3 linked regions of the Oryzias latipes genome follow. The protein of the gene in region 2 purifies or fractionates together with the protein of the main gene of each other region. This does not show direct contact. Links are inferred from orthologs where the notes say so. Each region holds a gene or a part of one and is shown on either strand. Other genes may lie near its edges.

Evidence for each region.
Region 1: the proteins of tfdp1 (region 2) and e2f3 purify together in Homo sapiens (affinity purification with mass spectrometry; 3 studies listed by BioGRID and IntAct, with this or other methods). This does not show direct contact. The link is inferred for Oryzias latipes from reciprocal best matches to the Homo sapiens genes TFDP1 and E2F3.
Region 3: the proteins of tfdp1 (region 2) and e2f2 purify together in Homo sapiens (affinity purification with mass spectrometry; 3 studies listed by BioGRID and IntAct, with this or other methods). This does not show direct contact. The link is inferred for Oryzias latipes from reciprocal best matches to the Homo sapiens genes TFDP1 and E2F2.

Annotation. Positions count from the first base shown.
Region 1 is NC_019874.2:11,042,082-11,046,094, reverse strand, and holds the start of e2f3 (transcription factor E2F3), read right to left. Parts: upstream 2,801-4,013; 5' UTR 2,461-2,800; coding exon 2,179-2,460; intron 2,141-2,178; exon of another isoform or gene 1,866-2,140; coding exon of another isoform or gene 1,854-1,865; intron 128-1,853; coding exon 7-127; intron 1-6.
Region 2 is NC_019879.2:10,679,511-10,683,010, reverse strand, and holds part of tfdp1 (transcription factor Dp-1), read left to right. Parts: intron 1-1,778; coding exon 1,779-1,900; intron 1,901-2,038; coding exon 2,039-2,204; intron 2,205-2,287; coding exon 2,288-2,434; intron 2,435-2,522; coding exon 2,523-2,591; intron 2,592-2,875; coding exon 2,876-3,027; intron 3,028-3,500. UniProt on the Homo sapiens protein: Can stimulate E2F-dependent transcription.
Region 3 is NC_019880.2:9,280,218-9,284,448, forward strand, and holds the start of e2f2 (transcription factor E2F2), read left to right. Parts: upstream 1-1,431; 5' UTR 1,432-1,919; coding exon 1,920-2,192; intron 2,193-4,231. UniProt on the Homo sapiens protein: Transcription activator that binds DNA cooperatively with DP proteins through the E2 recognition site, 5'-TTTC[CG]CGC-3' found in the promoter region of a number of genes whose products are involved in cell cycle regulation or in DNA replication.

The DNA of each region.
Region 1 (4,013 bases), on a different chromosome or scaffold from region 2:
CCTTACTTCTGGGTGTCTTTATGCGCGTCCCGTTGGCCGCTGGGCCCCCCCCTCTGCTGCGTGGCGTTCTGGCTGGTTCTAACTGGTACTGGTGGTCTGATTCATCAAGAGCCAACCGCCTCTTTGCCTGGAGGAAAAGGGTTATAAGAAAATATGGTTTTCTGACAGATGCTGGTAGTTTCATCTCCAGGGTTGCTCAGCTCAGTTTGAAGCTGAATTGTCAGACGATTCCCAAAACATTAGTACTATTACTTACATCAGGTTAGGGGAGGGGCTCGCCCCCACCCCTGAAACCAACTGCTATGAACAGAGGTGCAGAGGCAGCATCTGGACGGAAATTTACCCCAAAGCGTGTGGGCAGCTGTGGCTCAGAACGGACATATGACATTCTGAACATCAGCAGGTTCTTTGGGATATGTGTGTAACCATATTCTAAAAAAATCTAAACAAATGTATGATCTATGCATCCAGATTGTGTGAAAGACCACAAAAATGCACAAGTCTGAAAATCAGAGCGGGACGGCCATCATTTCACCTCAAACTTCATGACCAGTTGGCGTTCAAGCAGCTTTAAAACAAGACACCGTCATGATGGTCTCCGAGGGAAAAGAACCGTAAATAAAATAAAGAAAAAAAAAAGAAATACAGGATATCCCGATTCAAAAACTCCAAAATAAATGTTATAAAACATTGTAATGGCACACTTAAGTCATTGTTAAAGACCCCACTCCTATGAACTCGTGTTTTTAGCAGCATTTAAACGCATTATTTACACACAAATCTGGAGACGTCAACAGGGTCTCAAATCTGATGTGTGTGTGAATGTGGTTTTGTGTGTGTGTGTGTGTGTGTCAGGCGATTGGTCCGTACCATTTCATTAGATTAGGCTGCAGTAGTTTCCAGGTGCGTGTGCAGAAACTGTAATTACTTTTTGTAAGTTTTTAATATTCAATTTTACACACAATTGCAAGTACGCACAAAATGTATTGTATGAGTTACAAATAAAAAGAAATCAAATCAAGTGAGACTTTATTGTCTTCATGGTAACCATCCATAATAGAGCGACTATAAAGAGCAGAGTTGCTGCTTTCCTGTTTCCTGAACCTACAAACCCAACTAGAATCTATGGAGTTGGACCCAGAAACCATCAGTTTTCTGTGTTGGGGTCTTTAATATGATTCAAACAAATGAATCTAGGGGATGATTCCTCCTCAGAGGACAGAGAAGATGCATCTTCCACTAAACTTGCAATGGCATATAATTTATCCTTCAAAGTGTCAGCCATTTTAAAAAAATCAGCAGGAGTCTGTCTGGCTGCTCGTGGCTTCAGTCTGAGGTGCAGCCTGCTGGGGGGGGGGGGTTCGTGAAATGTGGAGAACACAGAAACCCAAATGTTTTCTGAACTCGTTTATCTGCGGTTCATGCATGTATGTAGAGAGAAGAACACATGAAACGTGCAGTTAGTTCCAAAGCAACAAGCTCGGGTTTCACTTCTCCTTCACTTGAAAGGAACTAAAATGTCACTTAAGTCACAGAGGACGTCAAAACCAGACGACAAAATAAAGGGGGGGAAAGGCAAGCAATGAGTTATTTTTGACAAAAATTTAATTTTATGGCGCTACTAGCTTGGAAAGCTAATATTTCTATAAGTTGGTTTGCCCACTTGGAGGAATCTATTGAGTAGTTTCGAAACAAAGCAGCTGCATTAGCTCAAATTTAGGAAGGTTCCCCTCCTCTTATGTCGGTAGAAAGCTACGAAAAGGGCCGAAAAACTCAACAACCAAGGTCTCCAATCCCACATAAAGACACCAACAGCAGCTACTAGGCCAGCGCTACCGTTACTCATCTCTTACCAGTACTTCCATCTGGCTGCAAAGGTGAAGAGGACCCTGAGCTGGGTGAAGTTAGCGAGTCTTATCTTAGAAGGCAGGGGGGCATTTCTGTACACGCAAAACTAGCTAAAGCTGGCGTTTTGCCCCCAGAAAGTTGACGAAAAGACTCTAAATCAGCCTGTTTGGGTAACTTAAGCTAGCGGTAGTTAGTTAGCTACATCGCTAGTCGTGGGATTGCCCTGGCTAAGCAGCTAACGTTAGCTGTCTAACAACAAGCTCGGCTAGCTAGCGAGCTAACATTTGTCGTACTTATGTTGGGTTCGTGAAAAATGTTGAGTGTTATTACCGGTGGTCTCCCCAGAGCGGGTCGTTGTCCTGCTCCGTTCGCCGCCGCTTGTTGTGGAGTTGTGTAAATGTTGTTGACCTGAGCCTCGGATAAACACACATTTGATGTCTGTGTAATATTGCAAGGCGGTGGTGTGGTTATTATTTGGATATACGTAGCGTTAGATTGACCGGGGTTCAAACGATCCGCGAGAGCTGTTAAAATTATATTACTGTCCAGAGGAGAACCCCCGACCTCTGCTAAAATCACTTTGTCCGGAGCCGAGGAGATCCCTCTTCTCATCTTGCGTATTCAGGGTAACCCCTCTCTTGTCTCTCAACTTTTAAGCCCGTGCGGCCGCTAATCCGTCGCAATGATTTCAAAAATAATCAGCCCAAAGTGTAGATAAACGTCTGAATGATCGACTTTTAAAAGTAAATTTTCCTTAAGAAGGTGCATTTAGGCAGATGCATCGGATTTAAAAGTAGCGCAACTCTCGTTTCCACCGACTAGAAATGGCTTCAGGAAACGGCCTGATGAATGAAGGGATACGGTTTACGCGCTCAAGAGCCCTCCCGCGAAACTCAGATTTCCCGGGGAATTTTCAAACTAAATTTACATGTCCGTCGCCATTGAGCCTTAGCTCAGGAGTTCCCGCCCACATCCCGACCGAACCGGCCAATTGGAGGACAGAGTTCGTCTCGCCACGTGCTCATTGGCAGTTGTAAACATGTGGCGTCACTTGTCACGCCTTGCATGCTGCAGATGTAAACGCCAGGTGGCGCCAGCAACACATTTTCCTCCAAACAGTAAGGCTGTTCGAAACGGAACGAAACAATTCAAAAATATGAATGCCAATGTAAAGAAAGCAGGTAATAGATTTGTTAATAACCATAAAAATCATTTTAATTCTTTGTTATTAAACGACAAAGATATTTATGTGTATTTTGGCGCTTAAAGTTAGAAGTGATTAAAAGTTGGGTAATAAGTTTAACCTTTATTTAAGAGTGAATAAAACTGCATGCATTTTCAATCTTACATTTCAATATATTCAATTCAATGGTGCAATATTTGAAACATTTTTTACTATGTCCATAGTAAAATCACAAAGAGACACCCTAAAAAATGCTATAAACTGCTTCTTCTCATGTAGAAAGAAAAAAACAACAATCACAATTATGTACAACATTAAAAACCACTGTGACACCAGCTTTTGGTTGATGTCATTTGGATATGGAAATGGTGTATAACAAAAATCAAAACAAAAATAAACCTAAAGACGACAATCAACAGAAATATATAACTACATAATACAAAGATAAGCCAATATCAAACTGGATAATTTGTCATGAAATGATTGAAAAATAGACACACATACATCCACATACACCTGTAAATAATGCAGTTATATTTACAATGAATCCTAAACAGTCCTAAATGCTCTTAGACCTACAGTACATCACACATTGAAACCATTAAATATTAAAATTGTCCAAACGAATTTAATTGTTTGAAAGTGTCAGGAACTGGTGATGGAGGACCCAAAATGCAAGAGACCAGGCTTGGTGACAGAAAATAAAACATTTAATAAACAAACTGAAAATTGACAAAACCCACGGCGCAACAAAAAGGTGACCTGACAAGGCAGAACTTGTAACCATGCACTTAAATAGGCTGAGGGCAATTAACTAAAATCACGACATCTATGGATCATGATGGACGAGGAACTGGTGTGACTGAGGGCATCTCAGAACCTGACCAAAAGTCACAAAAACCAAACAAAACCACAGAATCCTTACAGAAAAGGAGCGAGGCAACCCGATATAATCCCACCCTTATTATATTTTTCTGAACCT
Region 2 (3,500 bases):
CAGTCCGAGTTTAAACACAGTTCGGACTGGATGAGCTGTGAAATTCATTTTTAAGTGTTTATTACAATAAAAACAATTATTGTCCAATAGATGACATCCTAAGCTAGCCTTTACACTTTGGTTTAGTTTTAGAGGACATTAGAAAGTCTTGAGTTTGTGGGTCTAAAGTTCATTCTGGATGCAAACGAAACATTTCCAGCTGCTCAATCTCAATTTAAATATTCCTAAACTTCCAAAAATAGATGTTTGACATTTTCTTAACACAATTTATTTCCGTATTTAAGATTATTTTCACACCAAAATAATTTCAGATCACATTTGTTAAAATTTCCTGTGAGACTCGTGATGGTACTAAAATATTTTACTTGTTCAGCTGGTAAAATCAGACTCAAAGGTGTCTTGGACTTTTCTGAAACCTTTGCCCTTTTGGTTAACCCTTGTGCTATCTTAGATGACCCCACCCTTACATTGATGTGTTATTCCTACCATAAAAAAGGTGGATAAAGATGGAAAGATTTCATGTAATCCATGGACACCAGTGAAGATCACAAATCATTGAAGAAAAAAGGTTCAGAGCACTGTGTAGTGGGTCTAGATGACCCAACTCCCAACGTTAAAGTGCCTAGGAGATAGCACAATGGTTAAGTAAAAAAGCAAGATGAGTTAGCGATTTTTAAAATGAAAAAGCAGCAGATTGAAGAAAAAAAGTGAAGTGTCAGACCAAGACAAACCATCTAAACGTTAATGTGAGTTGTTAGGAAACTACAGTTGAATTTCAGCCAAAATGTTACAAACTCTCCTTTGCAACATTACTGTAGCACACATAAAATGCTTAATTCATTACATTTCTAACTATTTGAACTGTAAACTAAGTTTGATTATCTGTTCCATCCCAGATGAGTTAGTGACTGTTCCTTCCAGCACATGTAAGCTGTTGCATAACAGTCCTGCTATGAATATAACATCTAGAGTATTTAGCTCTATGCAGCCTGTTCCAATAAGGACAAAGCTTAACATCAGGCGCCCTTTCAGGGTTCTCTAGCTCTTATTATTAAAGCAAATTTTTAGTATTTAATAAAAAAAAGAAGATTAAGATTTCACCATTTTGCATCAATTCAGAGATGAGCTCATGTTAAAGTCAAACTCTGATCGTTACTTGATCTATTGTAAAAACTTCGCCAGTGGCCTTTTCATTATGATTATGCCGTTTTTTTTGACACATCACAATACCTGTGTCGTTTTCTAGGACAGTTTCTGCATAACGGCATTTGTTCATTAGAAATTCAACTCCACCCCCACTTCCCATCACCCATCTGTTTAAATGCCCTGCTGCTAGCTTACTGCGCCTCACAACCTCATTTTGAAATAGTCAGTGCAACAAAAATGGTGAGCAAAACTGGAGCTGTCCAGTCGTACAGTTTAGATCCAGATTCCAGCTCAGACGAGGAAAACAAAGACGGTCATGGATCCGTTGGTCTACAAGTGGATGCATCAGAATGGAGCAGAGCAGAAAGCTTGTGGCCCACCTGTTGTATTGTCTATGACACAAATTAGCTCTTTTTCTAACACCTGATTTACAATGACTTGATTAGAAAAATACTCAGAAATGCAATTATGAGATCAATTTTCTTTTTTGTATGTCCTCCATCAGAAAAATGCCACAAGAACATGCTAGAAAAAATCAACAACACCATATTCATTAGAGTGGGGCTTTAATTTAAAGTCCTCACAAGGTCACGTTGAGTCTTTAATGTTCCGTCATCTTCTTGTTTTCATAGGTGATTGGAACGCCCCAGAGACCATCAGTATCAAACACGATCTTGGTGAACAGTCCACACACACCCAGCTCCCAGTTCCTCACTCAGACTCAAACAGCAGATGCCTCTCCTTGGTCATCAGGGTAAGTCCTCAAATGCCTTTAGCTTAGCCAGTCATTCCTGATAAAATAATGCATTCCAAATGTATCTTAAAGTAATGTGATTACTTTGAAAGTTGTTTGCTGTAAATGTTGAAGCGTGCTTTGATGCTTCCTTTGCAGAAAGCGTGGTAAGAAAGGAGAGAAAAACGGAAAAGGCTTGAGGCATTTCTCCATGAAAGTGTGTGAGAAAGTGCAGAAGAAAGGAGTAACTACCTACAATGAAGTGGCAGATGAACTAGTTGCTGAGTTCAGCTCCGCAGACAACCACATGTCACCCAATGACTCGGTAAAGGCTGAGGCGGTGCAAACCCGCAACAACAAAAAAACACTTTCATTTAAATGATCTTTTAAATCCTTTTTTTTTCCTAGCATGTATACGACCAAAAGAATATTCGGCGGCGTGTTTATGATGCACTGAACGTGCTCATGGCCATGAACATCATCTCAAAAGAGAAAAAGGAAATCAAGTGGATTGGTTTGCCCACCAACTCAGCGCAAGAGTGTCAAAATTTAGAGGTGAGGACGATTGTGAGGGTTGGTCTAAACATGTGTGCCAATTCTGGCTTTTTTCCTCTGATGCAACTCTCGGTCGCTACTTTTGTAGGTGGAGAGACAAAGGCGGTTGGAGAGGATTAAGCAGAAACAGTCACAGCTTCAGGAGCTTATTCTGCAGGTAGAGGTCGATGACCTGTATGTCTGTGTTTGTCTGATTTCTGCATATATGTCCTCTGCAGCTCTTATGCTAGAGAGGCTGAGAGGTCTGTGGAGCTCAAGAACGCCAAAGCCATGAAATTCAAAAGCCTTTTGCCTTTCTAGCTTTTAGAACTTCACAGCTTAAAGAATATTTTTATTAGTTATGTTTTATTTATTCCCTTTACATAAAAGCTGTCTAAAGTCAAAATGCAATCTTCCTCTTTTGTGCCGCTTCTAACTTAATAAGTTTTGTTGTTTTTGCAGCAAATAGCTTTTAAGAACCTTGTTCAGAGGAACAGACAGTCGGAGCAGCAAGCAAACAGACCCCCACCCCCTAATTCAATCATCCACCTTCCTTTTATCATCGTCAACACCAGCAAGAAGACGGTCATTGACTGCAGCATCTCCAATGACAAGTATGTGGTTATCTGGTCTGTTTATGAGCAATGGAAACAAGTCATAAAAATCTATTTCTCTTAAACATTTGAAAGTGAAGTTTAAAATAAACATCAATCCCAGAACCTGTTAGAAATGGCAACGATTTCTTTCTAAAATCTGTCTGTGCTTTTGATATTAGTGTTGCCACTTGGCTTGAAATGAAATGTTATGTTTGCATTAGAGAAATGTTTAAGTTTAGGTTAACAGAACATAAGGTAAAAGTCTGGGACTGAAAGGTTAAAGCTTATTAATTCCATCCATTGACAGATGGATTAATTCCATTCACAGGGACAGATGTCACCCTTATGGCGCCAACAAAATTAAGTCAATTCAGTCACCATTTTGTCGTGATGGAGACGGCACCATTTTGGAGCCAAACTAGAGCGGTGACGGTATGGGATTTTTGATCACCGCGACGATGAAGCAGCAGGGCGACTCCTGCTGCTCAAAG
Region 3 (4,231 bases), on a different chromosome or scaffold from region 2:
TTTTATTAATCATATACATGACTTTTTTTTAAGTAACATAATTGCATATATTTTGGATAAATGATCTGCAATTGCCATGTTGATTTCTAAACGTTATTTTTTACATAATAATTTAAGTAATTAATCTTTGTCATGTGCTTAATTGATACCTCAGGATTCTTAATTCTGTCTGATAAAAGCTAGGAGCCGGATATTGATAAATCATGTAATAAAATGGTTACGGTAGATTAGGGGTGGGATTATATAAATTTGCTTCCTTCCACTCCCTTTCAAGCAATATTTATTATGCCTAATTATCATAAGTTTGGTTCGCCATTGTATGAATGTATAACTGGTGATTGTATTGTTTTTGTGTATGATTCCAATTTGATTGCTTGAAATAAACCATTAAAAAAATTGTACCAAATGACTAAACAACTCCAAAGTTTTACTGTAATAAAACCCAACTGACGCAAGTAGAAAACATGATGCCGGCTTAGTCCAGTTTAGAAGGCATGTTTTTTACCTACAACTTTTCAATGTTGCACATATAATTTTATTGGACAAATGAAAACACATCAACAATCCTCCATGATGACCAAGAACTAAGATTTCAAGTCACAACTTCAGTTTTAGGTCAACAACACTAGGCGTTTATCTGATTACCCGCGACTTTTTATAGGTTTTATTGGAAGAAATTCCACTCTTTAAAGACGTACCGTCCATGGGAGGCTTTAGGTCTCCTCGTTCTTGGCCAATAGGGGTCAAGTCATCTGGCTTGGGTTTGGTCGCCAAAGATGGGGGAGGGGGTGTTTTCTTTCAATATCTTTTGTGAGCCAATAAGCAAGAGTGGTGAATCCAATTATCATGTACAGACAATGCAGGGCTGCCCCTTGCTGTGTGCCACTTTCCTTATTTTAGGAAATACGTTTACAAATGTGTGCTCTATTGTCACCAGAAATATAAATTCTGAAGGAAATGGAGTTCTTTTAATAACTAAATGACACTTTTTACAACTATTTTGGGATCTATTTTAGTAAATATGTACAATTCAAAGTTAATATTTGTTTGAACTACAATTTCACATTTAGTTGCATTCCTTTTGTCGTACTAATAGTCATTTTAGTCCATTTTAATTTGGATTCATACTCCAAATTGTAAAAGTTTTGAGTAGTTTGACTTTAAATGTAGTATTTTTGCTTGTATTTGGTAAAGTTAAGTGCTTAAAATTAGTTTCTTAATATTGGTTTTTTTTGTTTCTGTAACAAACAGTTCAAGTGAGACAGCTTAAGGCGCGTGTGGAGAATTCGTGTACTGTCTCTTTAAGAAAACCAGGCCCTGCCCCGAACAACTGTTTTATGCAAATATGACAAGCCGAGCGTGCCACCAGCCAATCAGGGGCGCTCTACAACCGCGGGAGATCCGAATTTCGCGGGACGGAGTTTGGCGCTAAAAAGACTATTCAGCTGCAGCTCCTGTCGCGTTGAATGGAGAAGGGGCACCCCGAGGTGGACTGACGGCAGCCGCACACTGGGTCGGAATCCGCAGTCGGAAGGACTCACCAGAAGTTCTAGCGTTTGTCCCCGAGACGCATTTTCGAGTCGAACTTTAAAGTCCCGCATGTTTGAAGAAACTAATTTATATTCGGAATCGTTTTTGGATCTGGTAAGACAAGTTAAATACGACTTATAAAAAAACGAACTAAGAAGAGGAACGAATCTATCAACGATTATTATTAGGAAACAGCGTCATATTGCGGATTTAATTCGTGCATTTTATTTTGAAAATATTAATTTAGTATTTGCAATTCTTTCTTCTTTTGTCGACGTCTTCTTCGGGGATAATATTATTCTCTAAAGCCGGTGATCGTCGCGCTGGCCCTAACGGCGCGCTTCTCTCCCCGCTTGACCAATCCGGTAATTGAGGTTTTCCTCGGGAAAATGATGCGGGTGCCTAAAGGCGTCTCTCCGGCTTCGGTTCGGCCAGCAGTGGCGCTCGCCTCCCAGCAGAAAATGAAGGTTTTGTCGTCCGGAGGAGTGAAGAGCGACTTCTTCAGCACCGGACTGTCCAGCCCGCCCATGCACGCGGTACCGATCGGGTATTTCACCCAGATCGGTAACACGGCTGCGGCCGAACAAAGAGCCAACAGCCTGTATTCAACCCCCCACGGCCCCGAGGCTAAACCCATCAGATCATCCTCCGGGCGGCTGCCGGTAAGGAGCATTTCTGCAGCTCATTTTTCTCTTATGAACAAGGGATTTCTTGTGCCCATGTGGGAGGAATAATGCATGATTTCCATCGGCATGCGCAGTTTTGCAATTATGTTTTGACGCGATAAGCCACAGAGGGGCCTTTTTCCCCCATGTGTGTGCATCTCTCCACGCAGTCCAGCTGTATAGCTGGAGCAAGCCAGTGTGATTGTTTTTGATGTGGCAGATAAAGAGGAAGGGGCCCCCAGTTTGATCTTGTTTAGAGGTCCCTTGCGAAAAAATGTAGGATGAGTGGCCCCCTATACTGCAGTGAGTCAGGATGGCTTACAGACCAGAAGACAATACTGAGGGCATGGCTGTGCTGGTTGGAGGCATTATTTCCCTTACTCCTGCATTTGCAGACTACACCCAGAGACAGCTGCTCCATCTGCACCTGTCAGTTAACCAGTGCTGGACCTGTGTAACCTGTTCATGCAACTGCAGGAAGCAGGGTGTCATGAGTGAGCAACTGTTTGCTTTCCCCACAGAGCTTTTTGATTGAGGAAAAAAAAAAAAAAAAACTTCCATTCACTATGTTTCCTAAAGGATTATGCTGTTGATCTGCTGTGGATTCTGATCCACATGCATGCTGCCACTTCTATTAAAATCTCCCATCGTTCATTTAGTTGTTGGAGAGTGTGCAGGCTCTTCAAATCTCACGCTGACCCCTTGGCCCAGGAGCGTGGATCCACTAATAGGCCCTCCAAGAGGATTACTTGGACAGTTAGAAATAGGCTACCACCTGGCTTATCATATGTTGAGGTGATTTTACTGTTCAAGTTTGCGTTTTTACATCTCATAAAGGCATTCTTCTTCCTCATCCAGCATTAACACCAAGTTTATAGCTAAGTCTTAAAAAATACACCAGGATTTATAGGTTTTGTCTCCATAGATATTGTGTTTATTCTGTAAAACAATGATCATTTTTAACATTTTTCCATGTGTGCATGCTTATTTCAACAGTAATAGAAGAACTTTAGAGTAAAACGTTTTCGGAAACTCATATCGTTGGCTCTTTTTTTGTATAATTGGGAGATCTTAGATTCTAAGATGTTTATAAATGTGTATTATAATGAGTTATAAAAAATAAAGAAAAATCAATGCAACACAATTTCTGCAGAAATGACACATTTATAAACACACGATGCCTCTTCAATGAAGTGTCATCATAAATTTCACACCTTTACTGTCATTATATTGTAATTATCAAGTGAAGATGCGCAGATTTTCTCCATTGAGGGTTTATTTGCACTTGATCTGAGCCGCGGTGTTGTTTGAAGCGATCTCCTGGAAACTGGGTTTTGCCATCACAGCTGCTTGGGTGCAGGCCTTGTGTTTACAGGAACTGCTGCATATGCAGCACACTTCCTTTAACAACAAAATAACCACCACTCTTTTGCATTTCTGCCTCATAAACGGAACCCTAGCCCTGAGATCCCATAGACTCAACCTTTCAACACTCTGTAGACGACATGTACAAAAAAATAACATCCTTAAGTTGATTTTGAACAGCTTTTGTTGACTTTAGCTGCAGATGTCTCACATTTATGTACCAATCATGCTGTGTAGTAAACGTCAGTGCATCATTGACTTTTAACCAGGGTGTGGAGACAGTTCAGAGTGTTATGAAATAGAATTTCCTTTTGGGCTTGATGATGATGCAAAATGTGTTACAGTCTTCAGGCCATCACTCTAAAGGTCATGGCTGGTCTTTCACTTGGAGTTTTCAGATGCCCCGCATGCATCCATTTGTCTACTCAGGATACCCCTGACAAAAATACATCACAGTTTATCCACACAATTCCAAACCAGGAACTGTCATGTTCATGTAGTTTAGTCAAAATCTTAAAAAGAAATACAATAGATTAATTTTACACCATACATTTACAATACTGTTTAGTATTAAGGGATGCTTCAACCTAAATTCTACATTTTGATCTGCATGCAGAATCCTTGCTAATGTTTTTAGGAATGCTTCTCTTGCAGTTTGGTCATTAAAGACC